Arabidopsis thaliana: one gene and its partners. The protein of the gene in region 1 interacts with the protein of each later gene in a pairwise test. Each region holds a gene or a part of one and is shown in the gene's direction. Other genes may lie near its edges. The genes, in order: AT1G15610, AT3G03330 and FAO3.

Evidence for each region.
Region 2: the proteins of AT1G15610 (region 1) and AT3G03330 interact in a protein complementation assay, tested with the Arabidopsis thaliana proteins (one large-scale study listed by BioGRID).
Region 3: the proteins of AT1G15610 (region 1) and FAO3 interact in a protein complementation assay, tested with the Arabidopsis thaliana proteins (one large-scale study listed by BioGRID).

Annotation. Positions count from the first base shown.
Region 1 is NC_003070.9:5,367,527-5,373,786, forward strand, and holds AT1G15610 (uncharacterized protein), read left to right. Parts: upstream 1-3,230; 5' UTR 3,231-3,266; coding exon 3,267-3,658; intron 3,659-3,734; coding exon 3,735-3,860; intron 3,861-3,939; coding exon 3,940-4,153; downstream 4,154-6,260. Other genes in the region: AT1G15590 (E3 ubiquitin-protein ligase), read left to right, coding at 1-233, 312-437, 679-706; AT1G15600 (uncharacterized protein), read left to right, coding at 1,397-1,752, 1,826-1,954, 2,058-2,235; AT1G15620 (uncharacterized protein), read left to right, coding at 6,027-6,260.
Region 2 is NC_003074.8:780,966-789,137, reverse strand, and holds AT3G03330 (NAD(P)-binding Rossmann-fold superfamily protein), read left to right. Parts: upstream 1-2,933; 5' UTR 2,934-2,989; coding exon 2,990-3,065; intron 3,066-3,141; coding exon 3,142-3,197; intron 3,198-3,300; coding exon 3,301-3,334; intron 3,335-3,422; coding exon 3,423-3,521; intron 3,522-3,619; coding exon 3,620-3,768; intron 3,769-3,873; coding exon 3,874-3,912; intron 3,913-4,078; coding exon 4,079-4,171; intron 4,172-4,487; coding exon 4,488-4,586; intron 4,587-4,801; coding exon 4,802-4,903; intron 4,904-5,091; coding exon 5,092-5,175; intron 5,176-5,254; coding exon 5,255-5,320; intron 5,321-5,476; coding exon 5,477-5,566; 3' UTR 5,567-5,806; downstream 5,807-8,172. Other genes in the region: UNE6 (LUC7 related protein), read right to left, coding at 298-356, 635-697, 780-841, 1,130-1,277, 1,373-1,452, 1,570-1,633, 1,724-1,892, 2,212-2,264 and 1 more; AT3G03320 (RNA-binding ASCH domain protein), read right to left, coding at 5,849-5,911, 6,004-6,122, 6,217-6,304, 6,391-6,445, 6,578-6,626, 6,713-6,773, 6,878-7,005, 7,095-7,266; LCAT3 (lecithin:cholesterol acyltransferase 3), read left to right, coding at 7,650-7,869, 8,024-8,115.
Region 3 is NC_003074.8:8,378,356-8,387,030, forward strand, and holds FAO3 (fatty alcohol oxidase 3), read left to right. Parts: upstream 1-4,316; 5' UTR 4,317-4,504; coding exon 4,505-4,714; intron 4,715-4,975; exon of another isoform or gene 4,976-5,055; coding exon of another isoform or gene 5,056-5,061; coding exon 5,062-5,334; intron 5,335-5,911; coding exon 5,912-7,669; 3' UTR 7,670-7,826; downstream 7,827-8,675. Other genes in the region: AT3G23420 (F-box and associated interaction domains-containing protein), read right to left, coding at 7,918-7,947, 7,991-8,275, 8,427-8,675. UniProt on the Arabidopsis thaliana protein: Long-chain fatty alcohol oxidase involved in the omega-oxidation pathway of lipid degradation.

The DNA of each region.
Region 1 (6,260 bases):
AGTTCATCTACGAGAGACTGTGGTAGTCTTTGGAATATAATGGAATTAGTAGTCACTTTGGTTCAGATTGTTGCATCATTAATAGTTTTAACTCTGGCAAAAGATGAACATCAACAAGCACTTTTGTTAACATGGGTCATCGGTTACACTTGTGGCTGTATTACCATTACGCTCCTTATTCTCCTCTCGTGTGTCCGCAAATACAACCGAATTGGTGTTTACTCAAAAACGAGGTATAATAAACAACACTTGTTTCACTTAACATTAAGAGTTTAATTAGCTAAATCAAACCGAACCGTTGTTGGTGGCAGAACGGATAGGGTAATGGATGCTTTGAAGATGGGGAATGAATGTTTCTTTGTTGTGTGGTTAGTTATGGGGATTCTATGGATTTGTTATGGACACTCATCTTCTTCTGATACTCCTAAGCTCTACAGGTTTGACTCACAATCATGTCACAGTAGAGATTTAGTTAAACCCTAACTAATCAGTACTAACTTTTGTCTTCTTGATTATGTTTTGGCAGGTTATGTGTAGTCTTCATTGCTTTCAGTTGCATTAGATTTGCATATGCATTACTATTATGCGCAGGTATTTTTTTCGCTTAATGTTCACTAGAGTTTGGAACATTTTTTTCTCATATCTATGATGTGGATAAGTTGAAATCAAATGATGTAGATTCTGTAAGGGAAGGTATAGGAGGTAGATTTGTTTTCAAGAAACCGAGCCATGATGATGTGAGTAATAATTTCATATCACATTAATTACTCTGTTTTAAATAGCATTTTTTTGTTGTTGTTGTTGTTTAATTTTCATGGTTTGATGGTGTGTGCAGAGTTGTTGCATATGCTTGGGGAAATATGGAGAGGAAAAAGGAGTAGGACTAAGGAAACTTGAATGCTCACACGTATTTCATTCGCAATGTATAGACAAATGGCTGAAAATCAAATCCACATGCCCTCTCTGTCAATCACAAGTTAGGTGGTGATGAGATGAGGTTGATTTTTTTTTTATTTTTTTTTCGCTCAAGAGTAATTGTACACATTCAATAAACAAAAGTGGTGGGAAACTGAAAGATACGATCCTGTCTTCTTGTGTTGTCTGTCTTAAAACAGAAAATAAATATCATACAGATCATTTGACCTATTAACAATTTAACTTGTCCAAAACATCTGCAATATATATAAACATTGAAATCTCAGCTTTGATCTTCATTTTTCAAAATAATGTTTTATTTGTAACACGACTAATACGTACTTAGTATTGATCTGGTCTAAAAAAATACTAATAATTTTATCAACAAAGAAGGAAAGGTATATGCTTTGTGCTCGTCAACGCAAATTTGAATGAACTTTTCATTTGATCGGCAAGAAATAGGAAAAACCAAAAGTGATCAATGGAGGGCCCTTTGTTGAGCGAGTGTGAACACATCATTGACATTACAAGCGATGGTAGTTCTTCATCAATTGATGGTCAGCAACCACACGAGGGTGTTGAATTGGGTGATCCATACACAAATGAAAGCATTTGTAATTCAATCGAGTTTGTTGTGACTTTGGTCTTGATTGCTGCGGTCATAATCGTTCTGATTGAGCCAAGAGATGAAGAACATCCACAAACAATGTTGTCTATATGGATCATCGGTTATACATGTGGCTGTATTGCCACTCTCCCTATCCTATGTTGGCGTTTTTGGCTTTATAACCGAAGCGTTGGCTCCGAATCTACAGATGAATACTTAAGAGAGACAAGGTATATATAAATTGTGTTTTCTTTTATCTTTTTATGCATTAGATTGAGATATAATGGTTTTATTGGTTTGCAGAATCAACAAGGATATGGACTTTTTTATGACGGGTTTCTTCGTGGGTTGGTATGTGGTGTTTTTATGGATTCTTTCTTCCAAAGCATTCGACTCATCAGCTCTAGATGATACTACAACTCAATACTTCTGGTGCGTATCAAACGAAATTTCCAATCATATGTATACCTTAAAACGTATATATTGACCTTTCTTATACTCATGCCTTTGGCCTTCTTCATTGTCTCTTTTGCAGGTTATGTTTGGCTCTCCTTACTTTCAGTTGCATTAGATATGTTCTTTTTAATCTAACATTGGCAATGGTCTGTTATACTACTCCTTTGCTTTTACTTACGCCTGTGGTCATATGTGTTCTCCTTGCTGTGGAAGTCTTAAAAGGCATTGTAGCATGCATTGTATCATGCATCTGCTGAAATCGAACTAATAAAAATATTTTGTTTGTAAGCCTAGGAGAATGGGCGTTTAAAATCAAAGTAAAGCAGAGTACCAGAATAAAAATGTTTTGTGTTCATGTTGATGATTTTAATCTTATTAAGGTAGAGAAAAACAGTAGCTAAGGTTTTTTGAAATGATCAAATATGATCATCTCGTCTTATTTCCTCTTTTTATTTTATTTTTCTCCCTCGTTAATATTATTCTCCATTAAATGACAGTTTTGACTGACCATTCTTATTCGTGCGTTTTCGCTATTCAGATATGTATTTTAAGGGCCCGTACTTTAATGGGCTTTTTAAAATCTGACTTATTTCGAGTCGAGTCCTACCTCATTGTGACATTTACCCAAATAATCACGTGTTTCAGAATAACCTTTTATAGGCCTTATTATTTTGACAGATTTGGGTAAATCGAAATGGATATATAGATAACTTTAACACCAAAGATAAGATAACTAAGAAAAATAATAAAATATTATAGTTTCCCAAATAATAAAATTTAACACCAAAGATTTCTCCTTTTACAAAAAAGACATATTACTTCTTCTAGCTTCCCAAATAATACATCAAGCACCAAAGAATTAGGAAGACTATAATTTAGAACCAAATATTTTGAAATTTTACTCTAACGGGCTACAATTGACTAATAATTGGTCTTGGTGTAGGTAAAACAAAAACACACAAAACAAATGTAGCTCCGAAAGTCTACTCATTGTAAAGGACTTTATGTGATTGACTTAGAATTGGTATTGGTGTCGATTAGGTCTTAAGATAATAATATAGCTGGAAATGTCTATTATTCGTATTTAGAGAAGAATGACTAACTTTTTTTTTGTTCGTTAGAAGTTTACAATTGACTTATAGAATAGATCTTGACGTAGATTGGGTCTTAGAATAATAATTTAGCACCAAAGAATCGGAGAGGGCTTTATGTAATTTGTATTTCAACGCTTGTTTAGATGAACTATTAATTCGATTGGACAAAATAGAAGAAAGCAAAAAAGTGATCAATGGAGGGCCCTTTGTTAACCAAGAGTGAGCACAACGTCGAAGACGTTACAATCCATGGCGATTCTTCCTCAAATGATGAGCACATCATCGACATTACAATCAATGGCGGTTCGTCATCAGCTGATCATGAGCAAACTCCACATGAGGCATTTCAATGGAGTTGTCCATTTACAAGTGGAAGTTTCTGGATTTTGGTCGAGTTAGCTGTGACTTTGGTCCAGATTGTTGCAGCCATATTTTTTCTGATTCTAACAAAAGATGAACGAGATCCAGAACTAGATGTAGCTTTGTTTACATGGATCATCTTTTATACTTGTGCCTCTATTGCCACTTTGCCTTTTGTATGTTGCCGTTTATGGCAGTATATCCAAAACGCTAGCTCAGAGACAAGGTATAAACTGTGTTTCTTTTTCTTTTTCAGGCATTAGAGACTGATATCCTCAACAATGGTTTTTATTGATTTGCAGCAACGAGGTGATGGAGTACCGTTTGGAAAATTTTCTTGAATCTTTCTTCGTGTCCTTGATTGTGGTGTCTTTATGGCATATTCTAACCGAGTCATCATCACGTCAAGATACTAGTCGACACTTCTGGTGCGCATCTAACTAAATTTACAATTATGGCTAAACAACATAATTTACCTCTCTAGAACTAACAAATGTCCTTTTCCAGGTTATGGCTGGGTCTACTTGCTTTCAGTTGCATTCGATATGTGCTTCCTAATTTCCAATTTACCGTACAGTTATTCATGTTGCCTGGGGTGTCCCTTGTTACTGCACTTGTGGCCGCCATAGTAACGATGATTAATTCGTTACTCTCACTCTTTTTGGTCATCATTGGACTCTTTGCGTTAACCTTTTCGTGGATCATTGGAATGTGCGGATAAAAATGATGGATCATGTTGTTTTCTTCAACAATTGTTGTAATACTCTCTTTCTATTTATTAAATAAAGCCAAGTGTCATTAGCATTACCGAATCCTCTATTCCTGAAATGGCCGGCAAAACTGAAACTAAAGGCTTCTCTGTACCAATATCTCTGCAGCAAGATAAACATTTCAGTATCTGCATTTCAACATGTACAACTGGTTTGTCTATTGTAAAAGGCCTCTTTGGCCATCTTGATGAAGCGCTTCATGTTGAGACAGCATGTGGCACGCCCGACAATTCTTTTTAAGAGTGCACCCATAACATATATGTTCTTATGCTATCAAACAACCCACAAGGAACCTGAAGATGATAACTACTTGATAGAGATGATATGACTTCAATCAATCTCGATCGGGTTCGGTTAAGGGCACTAATAGATAACCTGCTATATGGGAGTGTGAAGACCATTAATTGGTTTTTCACATATATATGACTGAAGAAATCAGCCGTAACCAAATATTAGTGTTTTTGCATCAGTTGGGGCCTTGGGGGTCAATTATGGAGTGGAATAATACATGAAAACTTGAATGGTCGCATGCAGAGCAGAGGTAGCCTTTAAATTAAAGCACACATCAAAATGTAGTGCAATGTTGCGAACTTTTATTCAACTAAACAATTTAACACTCGATCTTTGTGCGCCAATACCTCTGCACAACAAACAATTTAATCTCATCAATATGATCCGATTTTGAAGAACCACCTTCTTCTTCAGTGACTTCTCTGGCTACCTTCCATTAACTGTCGCTGTCATAACGACGTGGAAGTTAACTTAATTGACTTTTAAAAGATTAATGATGCTGTATATTGGTCTTAAAATGGCACAAAAGGTTCCGTCTAGGCTTTGTGTTTCACTTTAAGTCTATAACTTAAAAAAAAAAAACTACTAATTTAGCACCAAATAATATCATAACCATTTTATTATAAATGACTATAATTAACGTAGAATTGGAATTGGTCAGTTGGTCTCGAGATAATAATTTAGCTCCAACGAATCGGACATATCTATGCTTTTATGTTTTTTTTTGGGTATAAGAATTTGTTATTAATTCTTATACCAAAATTATAGATATGATATTGTTTTATTTTAAAACAAAATAAATAATATATATATGAATGGTTTGATCTGATATTGGTTACGGTTAGGATACAAATTTTAATCCTGATACCATAGAGGTTTTATTAGTTCAATTTTCTTTCCGTTTGTTTATGCTCAACTTCAGATTCGTTGTCTTGCAATATTAAGATATGGTTCAATTATTGAGATATCATTTCAGTTACGTTCGCATCCGATTTGTTTAAGGTAATTGTAATGTTTTAATGATCACTTTTATTTGAATTCTGAAAATTGAAGTTTTAAAGATATTTTTTAAATAATCGATTTCAACAAAATAGAAAGAATTGTAATACATATTTTTTTTATCATAATATGAATTTTATATTTAATAGAAAGTTTCGATTATGCATTTAATTTCATACAATTGACTTTTCGACTGTTCATTTTTTTTAATTTTATTTTACAACGACTTTTAGACACTTCTTAGCACGAAAGAACTAAACGCAACATGTGCTTTGTAATTAAACGTCGAATGAATATGAATTATATTTGACCTAGGATTACGAATGATGTCGATCTGGAGTAATAATTTAGAACCGAACGACGACTTCGAAATATTACAATTGACTTATAGAATAGATCTCGACGTAGATTGGTCTTAAAATAATAATTAAGCACCAAAGAACTGGAGATGGCTTTATGTGCTCTGTGTTTTAAAGCGGATTAATAAGGACTTTTAATTCGATTGGGGAAAATAGAAGAAAGCAGAAGTGATAAATGGAGGACCCTTTGTTGACTCAGAGTGAGCACATCGTCGATGACGTTACAATCCATGGCGATTCTTCTTCAAATGAAGAGCACATCGTCGACGTTACAACCAATGGCAATCCTTCATCAGCTGATGAGAAAAGACCGCATGAGGGTGTCCAATGGAGTGATATATTTACATTTACCACTGTTTGTATTTTGGTCGAGTTTGTTGTGGCTTTAGTCCAGATTGTTGCCGCCATT
Region 2 (8,172 bases), on another chromosome or scaffold:
AGCATCACAAAAGTTCCAATTAGCATAGCCAAATGCTAAACATTTGACGATAGCATATTAAAACAGTATAACGTTAAAAACTCCATTAGTTAATCTCTACTAGTAAGATCCTTCAAGCACAATAAAATCAAGAAAAGAACGCACATTTATTATAGCTGCAAAAGTAATCCTGCCCAAAAAGCCTGCTGGTGAAAGGAGGAGGTACAATAGCCGGAGTCAAAAGACTATTTCTACCTTTTTTCTCTTTCAATCCAAAAGGGAAACAATAATGCAGAAAGTTTGAGCAAGGAACTTAACCTGTCATAGACGCTCAAGAATGCTCCACATATGTCACATAGACGCAACTTTTGGTCTGTCTGAGAAGATATAGGAACAATAAGTGAGGTTAGAAGATGAAACCAATGTGTAGATACATTAAACAGGGGATGCGAAGATGTTATACTTTTGGTCCAAATAGTAACTTTTATGAAAGCAATCAAACGGGTTTACTCAAATAAACTATTACTCTTTACCTAAACGTTAATATATGACTGTTGTCATTCCTATATTCAACGGTACTTTCCAAAACAAACTGATAAATATAGAAGGAATGTGAATCTTTAAGGCATCATTGGGAGGAGTGATGGTAACTTACGATGCGCACATCAACAGCGGTGTACTTCGTTGAATCTGCTGGAGGTTCTCGTCTAACTGTAAGCTGAAACAAATTTAGGCCCAACAATTATTAGTGACTAATAAAAGTAGGGGGAAAAGAAAAAGAAATAAGAAAGAGAACACACCTTCTTAAGAGCTTCAGCCTCTTCCAGGGCTTTCTGGGCTTCATCAACCATTCCTTGTTCACCTAAAATATCAAATAACCATACAATCTATATAAAACTTCGTGAAGTCCAGTGTTTCCTTAACATAGATATAGTAACATACAACGGGAAGAAATTTCCTTATCTTAGGTATATACAGTTTAAGCAATTTATAGGTTAGGAAATCTTAGATTAGCCAGTAGAAATTCCCAGCCGGCAGGGAATACTAGACCGTGGATATTTAAGCAGTTTCAACTTTCCACTACAATGAGCTCTAAATTAAGATGACCATAGACAAATAACCAAACACAAATTAGGGTTATTTCCCTTACCAAGATCTTCTGCCTTCTTCAGTTTCTCATTTATCATTTCTTGAGTGCGAGGATCCGGTGGAGGTAATTCGGAAGATGGTGGTTGAGCTGGAACGGGCTGTGGCAAGGATGCTCTATCTTTGTTGAAGGCTTCCAACAGCAACACCGCCTACATGAAAAAACAAGACAAAGGACTTTCTAGTTGACATAGGTAAAGTAAAAAAGCAAAAATGCTCATTAAGCCAATAGCGAAAGCAAATTCACCTGTTGGTCAGCTCTCTTGGTCCTCATCTCTTCGACTAACTCAAGAGCTCTAATCTTAAGATCCATTTTGCCTTCAAGATCTGCAAAGTGACATCAGAACTTTGAAAGACTACCAATAACCAGTCAAGAATTATTTGCAAAAACAAAGCCGAAACAGCAAAGTAATATTTGCTGGGCAATATTCTTTTAATTTTTACCGTGGATATCTGCTTCCTTCATCTTCTCTTTGATTTTCTCCGATAACTCGAGAATTTCAGGCGACTGCAGTTAAACAATGTAATGATGATAAACAAACCTGAGTGTTGCAAACTTAGAAGACACATAAACCAAATTTCAAAATCAAATAATCACCTGAGTGACTTCAGAGACAGAAATGGCAATGGCAGCTTTGGCGTCCTCTTCTTGAAGACGCTTAAGGGCCCTACCAATCTTCCTATCACACTCAACGATAAGCCTGTCTATGGCATCTTCCAATTCCCTGTCGTAGTTATCAACACCTTTTGCCCTTGCTTCTCGGTATCTAAGGGCGAGTTAAAGCAACACAGGAGTGGAAAGAGAACAACATGCCACTGTAGAATCAAACTAAACATAACAATGACACCAACTTTTTTTTGTAACTAATCTGCATAGGCTAGTCTTATATGCACTATCCATTCATTTAACGTATTATCTCAAGCAAAAACCAGGAAGAAGAGCAAAAACATGAGCAAAAAACAGATATCAACCCAATTAGTAAGTATGTTCAAATGTCAAATTCAATTGAAAGAGGCCATGGAAGTAGGCGGCCTTCATGGTAACCGTATAAGGTAAATACTAAACTTACTGTAAACAAAGGATACTCTTTCCGAAGCTGCAAAGAGTGCACCTTTGGGCATGGTCCCATATCCATTTTCTGATAACAACAGAAATGTAAAAGGAGCATCAGTTATTAGGCAAACCAAAGTAGCCATGCACTAAATTACTAGACAGATACTCATAGAAAACAGTGAAGCGATACAAGTTTCAGAATTCAGATATACTCTATAAGATACAAAACTGCACACTGTATCAAGTAACCAAATACCAGTTATCAATTCGAGCTAAAGCAGAAACACAAAAGATTAGCTCAAAAGTGAAATTAGGGTTTTTTTATTCAAAGAGACAACTAAGTAATAAACTGAAAAAATATAAAGGTAAGCACCGTCAATTGGAAGAGATCGTGAGGGCAGAGACCAGACAAGTAAAGACGACACACATCACGGTCGTAGTATTTGCGATTCACCTCCTGAACGTCGCCGTTTCGGTTAGCTCCCATGAGCACATCAAGCTGCTTCCTTATAGCGTCCATAGTCGTTCTCTCTCTCTCTCTCTCTCTCTCTCTCTCTCTCTCTCTCTCTCTCTCTCTCTCTTTCCTCGTCCTCTCTGCAAACAGAGATTTGGGGTTTTTTGATCGAAAGACAACACAATGATAGGAACAATGGCATTCGGATGTAATAAGATTTTGGTATATAAGATTAATTGCATACAGGTCCCTATATATTAATAATTTATGTTCTACTCCTACATTTATTTCTGTCAACATATTTTGCCCACGGGTAAGAAGACTTGGTCTCTCGCTGGTTGCTTCAATCCGAGAAAATGCTGACTCTACTCTTCTTCTCTCTCGGAGCGCTTCTTCTTATCGTTCTGCTCTTCAAATTTGCATTCGCCGATGGTAATAACTCTGACGATTTCTAATGCAATGTTTAACTTCTTTTATGTATAAAAGGATTGATCTTTGCTTTGTGTAGGAGATTTTACCTTGATTTCGAAGAAGCATGTGAAGCGTGAGGCCATACAAGGCAAGGTACTGGATTGATAGAGGAAAAAATGGAATTTAGTGGGATTGATTTGAGTTTTCGATTATTTCAATCTCTGAGCATTAATTCAGATTTCTTGGTTTTGCTCAGGTCGTCTGGATCACAGGGGCTAGCCGTGGAATTGGTAACGAATGTTTTCTTAGGATTATATATCTGTGAAGAGATAACTTTTATTGTGGCTGCTTACTCTTCATGTTTATGATTGGATTCAGGTGAAATTCTTGCTAAACAGTTTGCAAGTTTAGATGCCAAGCTTATTCTCTCTGCTAGGAATAAAGCTGAACTGGATCGGGTTAAGAGTGAGCTTAAAGGTACTTTCTTACACAATGAATCAAAGAAAGCTCTCCAGTTTACAATTGTGAGCTTTTTGTTGACACGTGATGTAACTGACTCTGTATTCTTCTTCTAGGTAAATTTGCACCAGAAGATGTCAAGGTTTTGCCTTTAGATTTAGCTAGCGGCGAAGAGTCACTCAAACATGTTGTAGAGCAAGCAGTGTCGCTTTTCCCTGGAGCTGGTGTTGATTATTTGGTTCACAATGCTGCCTTTGAGCGTCCGGTAAGTAATTTCCTTGCTAAAGTTTTGTATCTACTCAATAGAGAGTCTTAGGCTTTAGATATGTTTACTCAAGCGGGTGTCATCATCATACTCTTTTCCTTGCAGAAATCCAAGGCATCGGATGCAAGTGAGGAAACTCTCAAGGTACTAAAATTAATTGCGTAAAATTCGTAGGCAAGATTATTAATTCTTGAGGAAACTCTCAAGGTATTTTTTGTTTCTATTGCCATAGTTAGCCTGTAACAATTAGGACATGGGTGATTTTGATATTTCTTTCTGACATATGGTTAATCTATGATTTTGTGTGCAGACTACATTCGATGTTAATGTCTTTGGGACGATATCTCTGACAAAGTTGGTAGCTCCTCATATGCTAAAACAAGGAGGGGGTCATTTTGTTGTGGTACGTGGAGACTACTGGGGGATAGTTTTTGTTAATTTTGTGGAATTATATTTAAGGATTGAGCTTCATATCATAGTTTATATATGTGGATAACATTGCGTTTTATATGTTAGTTAATTGTTGTAATCACAGTATTGAATCTTGACTATATATGTTAAATCTGAGGATACTAGGGTATATAGACAATTTAAGGTTTCGTTCAGGTTAGTATTTACCATAGCTTGAATGTTATGGAACTCAGGCTATGATCATGCACTAATTGTCCATTTTATTGGGTTAAATGTCATGAGTAATAATTCACGTCAATTATGCTCAGATAAGCAGTGCTGCAGGAAAGGTACCATCACCTGGACAGGCTATATATTCTGCTTCAAAACATGCTCTTCATGGCTACTTCCACAGCTTGCGTTCTGAGGTATGTTAGAAGTAAAGAAACTGTTGTGCTTGCTAATTAGTTGGCAGAAATTGACTTATTGAAATCACAAGTGAAAATTTACAGCTACTCCTGAGTTTTAATAAGCTTCATATGTTGATTCGCTATGTTTTTTCATTTACATTTTATTGTTGAAAATAGCACAATCAATTACAAAAACTAACAGTTAGTTTACAATCATCTGTGCATGGTTTCAGTTCTGTCAGAAGGGAATCAAGGTTACCGTCGTTTGTCCTGGTCCAATAGAAACCTGGAATGGTACAGGAACATCAACTTCGGAAGACAGCAAGTCTCCTGAGGTTGGTACTTATTATGATTGTGATTATTTGATTAAGTTGTGAGCAGCAAGTACTTCTCCCATTGCTTGATTCATTATTTCCTTGTAGATACACGTAGAATCATATTCTTTGTCAACATTTGGAGATTCTAACTTCAGCTCCTTGCTCAACTTGATTTCTCTCAAGCATCTATTCTCTTTGCTACGCAGAAACGTGTGTCATCTGAACGATGTGCAGAGCTGACTATAATCGCTGCATCTCATAACTTGAAGGAAGCTTGGATTTCATATCAGGTACATCTTTATAAATATTGCATATGTGATACTCGGTTTAGATGTCTGATATATAAGTTTCTTTTTCACTGTTTTTCAGCCAGTACTACTCGTGATGTATCTAGTGCAGTACATGCCTTCCCTTGGCTTCTGGCTCATGGACAAGGTACTTTGCTCATCCATTAATTTTCTTCAAAAGTTACCGGTATGAGATGTCGTTTTGTTTCCATTATAATGTGACAAACACATCTGACAAAGAGAAAACAGGGGCAGTTATTACTCTGTTGAAAGCAGTCTTTTGATTAAAATGAACGGCTTGCAGGTTGGAGGAAAGCGTGTGGAGGTCGCGGAAAAGAAAGGCAACACATACTCGTGGGATTTACTGTTCGGGAAGAAGACTAAAACAAACTGAAGCTGATTCTCTAGAAGATACACATAGATGTGGTTGGTTGAGCCTTAGTCCGTAAATGTGGTTGGTGTTTGTTTGCTAGTTTGATTGTTAAATAACTACCAAAGCGTCGAAAAATGTTTTGTTGCCTTGTGAGGTGCTCAATAAGTAAGAAAAGATGTGATCTTCTGTGATTTAGCTACTCGTACACACAAACAAACACAAATTTAACATCATCCGAGTGTAGAGAAATCAAAACCCTTCAAATTGAGTAGTTTCTCTGCGCACAAAGGTTTTCAGATGCAGCTACGAGGTAACCCCAGCTGTGTATTCATCCAACAGGCTTTTGATCCCACTGGACTTCAGTTCCTACAAAAGAAGAACCGAAAAGAAAGCTATATGATGCATACATTGAAGACTAACGAAAGCTTCTGGAGTTTGACTTGCTGCCAGAAACTCACAGACAATACTCCTGCCAAAGCTGCAGAAGGCTGATTAGCTGGTTTTGCAACACGAATAGCTACAACACCGTTCATTCTTTCCTTCTCTTCAGAATAAAAGTTTCGGTAAACTTGAACACCTGCAGATAGAACATCATTTCAGGTTAGAACAAAGTCCACATAGCAAAAGAGACGCTTTCCAAACGTTCTATGTTATGGTAAAGATCTTCAAACCTTCTTCTATACTTTCAACTCCAGGAAGAACTTTGGCAAGACCCTCCACTTTCAGCATTTCTGAGAATGAAGTATAACGGTGAACGTCCTGCCCTCATCAAAATGGTTAGTAACAAGAGGTATAGTGTTTGCCTCACAAGGAAGAATTGACAGAGATACAAGATTGATGACTACCTGAACTTCAAGCAGCAAGCATTTATTGAACAAAAGAAAATCTCCTGAACTAATTCTGTGAGTAAACCAATTTTGAAGTCAATAAGACAATCTAAAGCTATTGGAATCAGCAAAACAGAAAACCCGGAAAAGCAAGCACAAGAGATGAATGTGAATTAACATTTGCACAAAGATAAAAACATCAGACCTCATGTAGTCTCCCACTGCGCATCTTCCTTCAACAGTTTTCAAACCATCTGACAAATTGAGAGGCACCCGGAAATAAAAGTGAGATTGAGCAAATATAATTGTAATACTACAATCAAGTAACCAGAAAATGTACCTTTCAATTGGGTGAAGTAAGGCTCTTGGACATGAAGCTCAAAGTTCACCTCCTTCAACATCTGAAACAAAGAACCTTTTCTGTGTAAAAATTCCAAAAACTAACTTTTCCCACTCTGTTTTGATGCAATAATAGTTGAGAACTAAAGTTTTCATATAGACTTACATTTATTAAGTCATATCCCAAGCCATGAATCAGTTTGCTGTATTTTTCCAAGTTAGAATTTTTATCACCCTCGGAAGCTAGACATTCAGACAAAGCCGTTGCTAGAAGCTTGTACACCGCAGATTTTTCTGTTAATTGAAACATTTATGAGAAAATTTCAGTTATTTCTCTCCAGCATTCAAGTTTCATAATTTGCTTCCTAATTAGCAAAACGTACCTGTTGAATCTGTAGCTTCCCCAAGGAGATGAAGACAAAAATCTCTGGTCAGGTCAAGATCGAAACTTGGAACAGATTCGTTTAAATGAGATCTCAGACTAAAACGGAGAAGTGATTCCATGCATTCTCGGAGATCCACCGACTTCGTTCCCGGCGACATTGGTTGCTCCATTTTCGTCAAAAACGCCAACGTTAAGCCTCTTAATTAAGAAATATTCGTGTAAAACACCCTCAAGTTTGTAGATATTACAAGATGTTCTAACCCAATCTGAAATTGGACAGTAACACCTTGATGTCGTTTTAAAACGGAAGATCAGAGATCAGACGTTGTCGTTTGAAGACGGAAGATCAGAGCGATAAGTCAGGTATCTAGAAGGTGACACGTGAGGAGCACGTGAAGCTTGCGTGTAGACAGTCACAGTCACAGATGGCATATTCTCAGAAATCCTCATTGTTGACTAATGTACCTCTGATAAGTCCCACTTACCATTTTCTCCTGAACTCTGTAGAAAGATCCGAATTGAATATTTCGGACCCGAAACCTGACCCGCTTTGATGGGCTGGATTCCGTGTCCGTGCTGGGGAACCAACGACGATGAAAACGCCGGCGAGGTGGCGGATCGTGATCCGGTGCTTCTAGTATCTGGAATTGGAGGCTCTATTCTGCATTCTAAGAAGAAGAATTCAAAGTCTGAAATTCGGGTTTGGGTCCGAATATTTCTAGCTAACCTTGCCTTTAAGCAGAGCCTCTGGTCTCTCTATAATCCCAAAACTGGTAAATTTTGAACCTTTCTTGATATTTATAGAAATGTTTATTTGAGCTTGATAATAGAGAGGATTTCGGAATTTAGATTACTGTTGAAGTCATGGACTTTTAGAAAAGTGAGTTATGAAGCAGATCTTGAACTTGAATGTTATTTTGTTGGCAGGTTATACAGAGCCGTTGGATGATAATATTGAAGTATTGGTCCCTGATGATGACCATGGACTCTATGCAATTGACATTCTAGATCCCTCTTGGGTATAGTAAAGTAGCTAGATATTACTTTGTGCATTGGCTACTTCTATGCAGTTGTTA
Region 3 (8,675 bases), on another chromosome or scaffold:
GAAATTGCATATTACTTTCTGAGTAAAATGATGTCGTTTTGTGCCACAAAATTTTAATTTGCTTTGGTTGTATTATTATGGACCATATGCAGTACTTTGATTTTAATCTATGTAGATAATACTAGATTAAGACCCACATATATAAAATTAAATATTGATTTTATTGATGTAAAACATATAAATTTCGACCATAGACATTGCCCAATTTTTTTTCTCCTTTTTCCATTTAAGTATGGCCCAATAAAGACCCACATCGTATGTTTTGTCACTCGGAGGCAGCATGATCCAATACTTATATACAGGTGTGTTTTTCTCTTTTAGTCATATGACATTCATGCCTTCCATTTATTTGGATATCATTTTAGAACAAATTTTTAGGCTTTTAGTAGTATATAAAGTTTGAAAATAATGTAACTTCATATCCAATATATATTTGTCTTTTGAATTTCTTTTGCTTAGTTGGTATCCATTCTAGTTGTCTATATTGAGTTAAGTTTTTTTGTTTTTTTCTGAAAGAAAAAATTAAACATTCATCTTGGAGATTACGTGAACATTTGCCGTGTTCTCTTTATTTGGGGAAATCTCCCAGTTTTATGGAGACATTTCATATTTAATCAATAAGGTTTGGTTGCTATGTTCTTCTTGTCTTAAGAAATCGTCCAAATTTTGTGGCATTTAATGGTTGGAACTGCAAAATTGTGTGGCTAGAACTGCAATTTATGATAAGCTTTTAGCAGTTTGGTTCGAAATATATGTTTGGTGAACAAAAGATATTTACAGTATGAGAATAGTAGCTGATATTAAAGTTAAGAAGAGAACTTGGTACTGGAGCTATAATGGTCAAGCTAAGACGATGTAGATATAATTACAATTTGGAAGAAGAACAAGTTGAAATATAAGAATATAGAATTGCGAATTGCGAATAATGAAAAGATAACTACTGCAAGAGATTAAGAACAGATTATGGATAACCACTTGTGTTTATATTAGGCTTGCATTAAAAGCTTTGATATGCTTAGTTGACGTTTTTGTGCTTAGTTCTGCCGTTTTCTGTTTGTGTCCATGAATCCACGTGTTAAACCATCTGCTGTACAAGGTTTTTTAGTCTTTCAATTTCCCAATTTGTGTTATTTGCAACATGTAAATGCTAATGACAAGCTACATGTTAATGCTGGAAAAGAAAAGTAGACGTTAGTTCGAATGGATCTAGATGATTCTATACGTACTATTCGATATTCGATCTTCTATTTTTTTCACTATACTCGAAGACATTGGTGCAAATTAAATATTCTAACTAGATGTTGGTTGTTAATTTTTCTAATTATTTAGTATTTGTTGCAGTGTCCCACGATTACATGAAGTTATATAGTAATTTAATAATAAATATGATAATAAAGATATTGAAAACCCCTAGTTTATCACTTTATTGGTTAACCAAAAATTCATTAATGATTATACATAAAGAGGTCTTTGGTTCGAGTCTCAGATACTACAATTTATTATCAGATTTGCAGATTTATGGAGACAAGTGTATAAGAAATCTTCAACGATATATAATTATAGCCATCATTGAAATTCTCCATCAAAAGCATAAAAAAAACGAAAGAAATGCCGTCTCTCGTGAATCTAATAAAGGCGAAATGAACTTTTTGTAGCAAAATTGTTTATATAACAAAAACATGATAATAAAGATAACTTACGCATAAAATATCGGTAGTTTTTAGTATCCGCGTATAGTTTACTTAACTAAAGGAAATATGGTATTATGACTTTTTAACACAAGATTTTAACTGGGCAGAAAGTAACATGAACGGAAAAGGTCTACAAAGTGGGGTTATCTTGAAAATGCCGTATATAACCTGTTATCGCTATTTTACTTTACATTATCGCTTAATTAATTAATGACAACTTGTGACATCTTTAATTGCGTCCAACAACATTTTTTTTGACTTTTAAACAATAAGCTATAATGACATTTTATTTTTAGAAGCTATACTTACACAGTGACACATAATAATTCAACTAAACAACCCACTGTACCCGATTGAATATTTTACAAGCCATGAAGGTTTTAAGAAGATTTTGTTGCTGATGCCTCGGCTAGCTTGAAAATGTTTTATGGATTTTACGCAAACACGTCATTTTGACAGTGTTTTAGAGATTTGTTTTTGTCTACAACTAATATATAATTAAGCTTTGGAGCCATTGAAAATATTTGGTCGATAAATAATAATCACAAAGTGTACCTCAATCATAGAAATGGAATGCTATGGTCCATATAACTTGAAATATTGTAGTCATAAAATTACGATATCACCTAACGGAAAATAGTCTTAACATTTGAACATAACATGTGTTCAGAGAAGTTATAAATAAGTGTTCAGAGAAGTGATTTTTTATTTCTAAGTTATAAATAAGTGTGAAAAAGTAACTTATGACTAAAAAATATTTTGTGAACTTTTTAATATTATTATTTTTGCAAAACAACGCACTATATATGTACCTCGTACACTCTAATTAGCTCATCCACCACGGTAAAATTTATTTATTATTTTGCATTTTTTATTTGGTTAAGCTGAAACATATCATTATCACCAAGCAATTATATATGTACCGATAACCCATGCTGAGGAAATTTTCTAACCAAACCTTTGGGATCAGAATATATATTAGTAAATAATCATACTTTAACTTAGATTACACTAAAAACTAGTTATCGTTTTAGAGTTTTTTTTGTCTGACGAGATCTCGGATGCTTCGATTACACCTGACTTGTTAGATGGGATGCATGACCACATTTTGGCTAACATGGCGTGCAAACGATGACGTGGAGGCAACTGATTGGCTCCACTGATTCCCACAAATTTGTTGCAAAATCAAAAGTAGGGCCAGACTAATTATATTATTTTTTTGTGGATGTCTATAATATGAAATTTGAATCAATACGTAATTTATCGATTCTTTGTCTAATCGATGTCAACTAAATTTAACAAATTATCTGGAAGTCACTCAACATTTTCCTTGATAATGCTAGTTTCTTCGAATCTTAAATGAGGCAACGCATTGTCCATTGAAATTTTAAGCATATAGTGTATATATGTATTTATTTTTCTAGCAAATTCAAAACGGCCTGGGATCGTTTGGTTTGTAATCAATATATGGGTTTTTTTTGGTCAACAATCAATAATTAGTATTTTTGAGAATTCATGAAATACTGGATGAGTAAATGAGATAATTTTTATGGATGATCACTAGCACATGGTTGCTAACCAGTGAAGCACCTAAAAAATCACTGCAAAAAAGTTTGTAATCAATTTCGTTGCAGCTAAGCAACATTTATGACTAATTTGAGTAAATATTAATTGACGATCCCATGAATTTCACCTAATTGACGAGTCCCTAGATTTGTTTTAGAGTAAATTTTACAACTTCATATACTTTACATTATAATTAACAAACTAAAAAACTCGTAAACCAAATAAGACTTTGTCTAATGGTCCAAGCATGACCTCTCCAAAGATATAATATGTTTTGATATATACGTGATAACCGATCAGATGTTGTATATACATATTAATGTGTATTAATTTCTTCATATAATATTTACAAATTTTTGTGAGAAGATATCAAGTACACGTATATCGAATAAGAAAAGCTAGATTGTGTAAAACGTTACGGGGCTTGTGCATTAACTCACAAGTTGGCTATCACAAGTTTCAAATTGTGGTGTTTAGAGCATCGCAGTTGTCAAACAAAAAAAAAAAAAAAAAAAGAAAGAGTATCACACGTGATTGTTTTCCATAACTATGAGAACTTTTCTGACTATTTTCTTCTTTTGTGCCTTTGTTATGTTTCTTCAATCATTACTTAATTATTAATTACTAATCGATTTTCGTTGCCTGTAGTTTTCACATGTTGTAATCTAGAAAACTGAAAAAGACTTTCCCCATAATAGTCTCTGCTAACTACATACTAGTCCCTATATTTTGCAATTTTAAGTGTTTTTAACCACTATCTTAGAGACTCTAAACATGAGGACCCTAAAAAATAACCATCATCTTAAATTGTACGTAAGAAATATATTCAATCTACATCAGATGATACCAATAAAATTCGGCATATAAGTAGAATTTGAAAGAAACAACAACGTGGGTAGATATGCACCATTTACAACAACAAAAAAGAAAAATCAATTTTGGTCCAACTTTTTCATATACATTTAAATTGTCAATTATCATCATAATTAGTAATACGACAAACTGTCGTATAAACTAGAAAAATACATACATCTACTATCTAAAACGACAGATAAAAATACGTAATCATCAAAAAGAGTTAAAAACAAGTTTTGGGGTTCTCTTAGCAATTTTGTTTTATATGTCTATTTTTATGTAACGCGACAGCTGTAACGTTGTGTCTATATATATACTAACAGAGTTTGTGCTTCGAAATCTTAAGAACTTTCCCAGTTTTGTTTTTTAATCATATCAAAGCAAACTGTGTGATGGATAAGTACAAAGTCGCCGGAAAATTTGGTCTCCCGGACATCACGGTGGCAGAGATGGAATCTTTAGCTAGCTTTTGTGAAGCTGTCTTGCCTTCAGTGCAGCCACCGCCGGAAGAGCTTTCCGGTGAAGGTGATAACCATCGGAACAAAGAGGCTCTCCGGTCATTTTACTCAACTTCTGGGTCTAAAACTCCTGTCCTTCGCCAGGTTCACACACTTTTTCTTTATATTCATCAAATGATCTGTTTTTTTAACAAAATGCTAAAGTTTTGACACTTTCAAACAAAAAAACACAAATCAAGAACGTGTGATATTTGAAGATTTGTTTTGATTTGTTCGATTAGTTAAAAGGATTCGTATTGATCGAGTTCCAATAAAATCCTTGTGGTTCTCTTTTGACTTCTATAGACCTTTTAAATGACAAAAATATCTAGCTCTTTTTGTTTTTTTAACGTGAATATTATTAGTCTAGGTTTCGGTCTAAAATTAATTGCGGTTATTAAAAAGACCTTAAGGTTTTGAGTAAAAAGTGAAAGATTTGTTAATGGATGCAGAGCATTGAGCTGGTCACGAAACGAGGGACAATAGAAGCTTATATTGCTACTAGGCTTATATTGTTCTTGCTTGCTACTCGGCTTGGGACGCTTCTCATTTGTGGAACCGAGTGTTTGGTCTCAAGATGGCCTTTTGTCGAGAAATTTAGTGAGCTCTCGTTGGAGAAGAGAGAAAGAGTACTTCAGAAACAATTCAAGAATTGGATTCTGACTCCAATTAGAGCTGCTTTTGTCTACATCAAAGTTGCATTCCTCTTCTGTTTCTTCTCCCGGGTATGTCTCAAATTCTCTCTGTTTTCTCCAAACCTTATCTCAACCACATAGATTATGTTGTTCTGTCCGGATAAAACAGTCTAGTACAAATCCAAATAATCGAAAACAGAATCGCATGGTTTAAATTCATTTACTTTCTATATAATCCAAAAATTGATTACAAATAGAGCCAAAAAAAACTAGAAAACGTATCAGTTTTATTGTTTTCTAAATTAATGATGATCTCTAAGGAAAAAATCATCCAAATTCATATATACTAAAATTAGAAAATCTTAAACCTGAAACCGTACGTAACGTATTCATATGAGATTTGTTTATAACTAAAATTTACTATTTTACTATACATAAACAATTTGATCCCATTATTAAAAACTTTGATCTTAAATGAGTACCAAGCGATTTAACTAGATCATTTTCTGATTTGGTTACAATAAACCGATCCAAAATTTTGAGAATCGTGAACTAAACCAAAATCCGGATTCAGAGCCTATATTATATATGTTAACTCTGTCGTAAAAACAGAGCTACTTATAGAAAATGTTCAAGAATTTATGGATATGTCGTTTCTTTTGTGTAGGTGAATCCAAATGGCGAAAACCCGGCATGGGAAGCCATAGGGTATCGTGTTAACCCCGATGAGAACAAACCTTCTGAAACTCATAACGAAAGACCACTTGAGAAAGGGATAGTGGAGACGATGGAAGAAACAGAGCAGACTCTTCTTGAATCACTTGCTCATAAAGGCCTAGAAGCGGTTCTTGACACGGAGCATGATGCGATCAGAATAAAATGTGATGTTGTGGTCGTCGGGTCTGGTTCAGGAGGAGGCGTAGCAGCTTCTGTTCTAGCGAAATCTGGTTTAAAAGTGGTTGTTCTTGAAAAAGGAAGCTACTTTACGCCTTCTGAACATCGTCCTTTCGAAGGTCCTGGCTTGGATAAACTCTACGAGAATGGAGGGATTCTCCCGAGTGTTGATGGGAGTTTTATGGTGTTGGCTGGAGCAACTGTAGGTGGTGGATCTGCTGTGAACTGGTCTGCGTGTATCAAAACCCCGAAGTCGGTTCTTCAAGAATGGTCAGAGGATCAAAATATACCTCTTTTCGGTACTAAAGAATATCTAACGGCTATGGAAGTTGTGTGGAAGAGGATGGGTGTCACGGAGAAATGTGAACTGGAGAGTTTTCAGAATCAGATTCTGAGAAAAGGTTGCGAAAATCTCGGGTTCAATGTTGAAAACGTGCCAAGAAACTCCTCGGAGAGTCATTACTGTGGATCTTGCGGGTATGGATGTAGACAAGGAGACAAGAAAGGAAGTGACCGGACTTGGCTTGTCGATGCGGTGGGGCACGGTGCCGTGATTCTTACTGGATGTAAAGCGGAGAGATTCATACTCGAAAAGAACGGTAGTAACAAAGGAGGCAAGCAAATGAAATGTTTGGGAGTGATGGCTAAATCTTTAAACGGAAACATAGCAAAGATGTTAAAGATTGAAGCTAAAGTAACGGTTTCAGCAGGGGGTGCTCTTTTAACACCTCCGTTGATGATATCTAGCGGGTTGAGAAACCGAAACATCGGTAAAAACCTTCACTTACACCCTGTTTTAATGGCGTGGGGTTACTTCCCGGACAAGGAATCTTCTAACATCAGTTTCAAGGGAAATTCATATGAAGGCGGGATCATAACATCAGTGAGCAAAGTGTTATCAGAAGATTCTGAAGTCAGAGCAATCATAGAGACACCGCAACTAGGACCAGGTTCGTTCTCCGTTTTAACTCCTTGGACCTCTGGGCTTGACATGAAGAAAAGAATGGCTAGATACTCAAGAACCGCGAGTCTCATAACCATAGTTAGAGACCGCGGGTCAGGAGAAGTTAAAACCGAAGGCAGAATAAACTACACCGTGGACAAAACCGACAGAGATAATCTCAAAGCTGGGCTTAGAGAGTCGCTAAGGATACTAATAGCAGCTGGAGCAGAGGAAGTGGGAACTCACAGAAGCGACGGGCAGAGACTAATATGCAAAGGTGTCAATGAGAATTCGATCCAAGAGTTTTTAGACTCGGTGAGTACAGAGGAAGGAGCAAAGGGAATGACTGAGAAATGGAACGTTTATAGCTCAGCTCATCAGATGGGAAGCTGTAGAATTGGAGAAAATGAAAAAGAAGGTGCAATAGATTTGAATGGAGAGAGTTGGGAAGCAGAGAAGTTGTTTGTGTGCGATGCAAGTGCGTTGCCTAGTGCTGTTGGTGTTAACCCTATGATCACAGTCATGTCTACGGCTTATTGTATCTCCACAAGAATCGCTAAGTCCATGACCACTGGTTTATCTCATTGAACTAAAATAACGTATACTTTCTATTCATCCTAATCAAATTTATGTGTAACCAACATGATAATTCATAGTTAAAGACTCTTCTATTGATCATGTCTACTAATAAAATCCATGTTTTGGAAACGTTATATTTATTCATCTAATTAGAGTGTTATAAAATATTGGACTAATCAAGTTGCAGTGAACTTGGAACATAAGAGCACACAAGTGGTCGGAGATTTTGGTTTGGAGATTCTCCAAGATCCACTTCTTCAAGGATCCATCCTCTCCAACGATGTAAGCTGCATTGCACATCAACTACTTCTTTTTGCCTTTATCAAAAACCACTGCAACTTTCTTCTCCTCATCAATGAAGAAACTTGCATCACTAAACGAAAACATAGAGTAACGGCCGGTGAGTTCTCTCATATCCACTGATAAGAAGAACTTGCTGCTCCATGACACCGTGTTGGGCTCAATCTTAGTTGTAACCCAGATCTCCATCTGTAATGTATCCATACGCTGAAATAACACCGCAAGCTGCTCATCTCTAACATTAGATAATAACAGAGAACTCTTGAAGATACCACTCAAAGGGCGGCGAAGGCAAACCGCGGCCCAAATGTCTCCCTTGTGAAATCAAAACAGAGTAAGAAACTATGGTCTCCTTGTCTTGGGATTTCTGAATATGCCTCTTCAGCAAGCCAATATGTATTTCCTTTGAGAGAGGCACCAGACACAAAACGGTTATAGTAACCTATGTTCCAGTCTCGAGATTGACCCTCCATGAGTCAGAGTTAAAGTCGTAGATTTTGAACTCAGCAGAAGTGGAGGAGACATAATCAAACATCATACCAAAACTCAAGATTTTGTGGGATTTGGTACTGCTATTGTATCCGAGAGCATACGAATATGCATCTAATCTCTGAGGATTATTTGTAGTCTCGATCCACCGGGTTTGTCCACTATACGGGTTACAAACCACAAGCCTAGGGTTGTCTTTCATGATGCATAACAATAAACCGTCGCA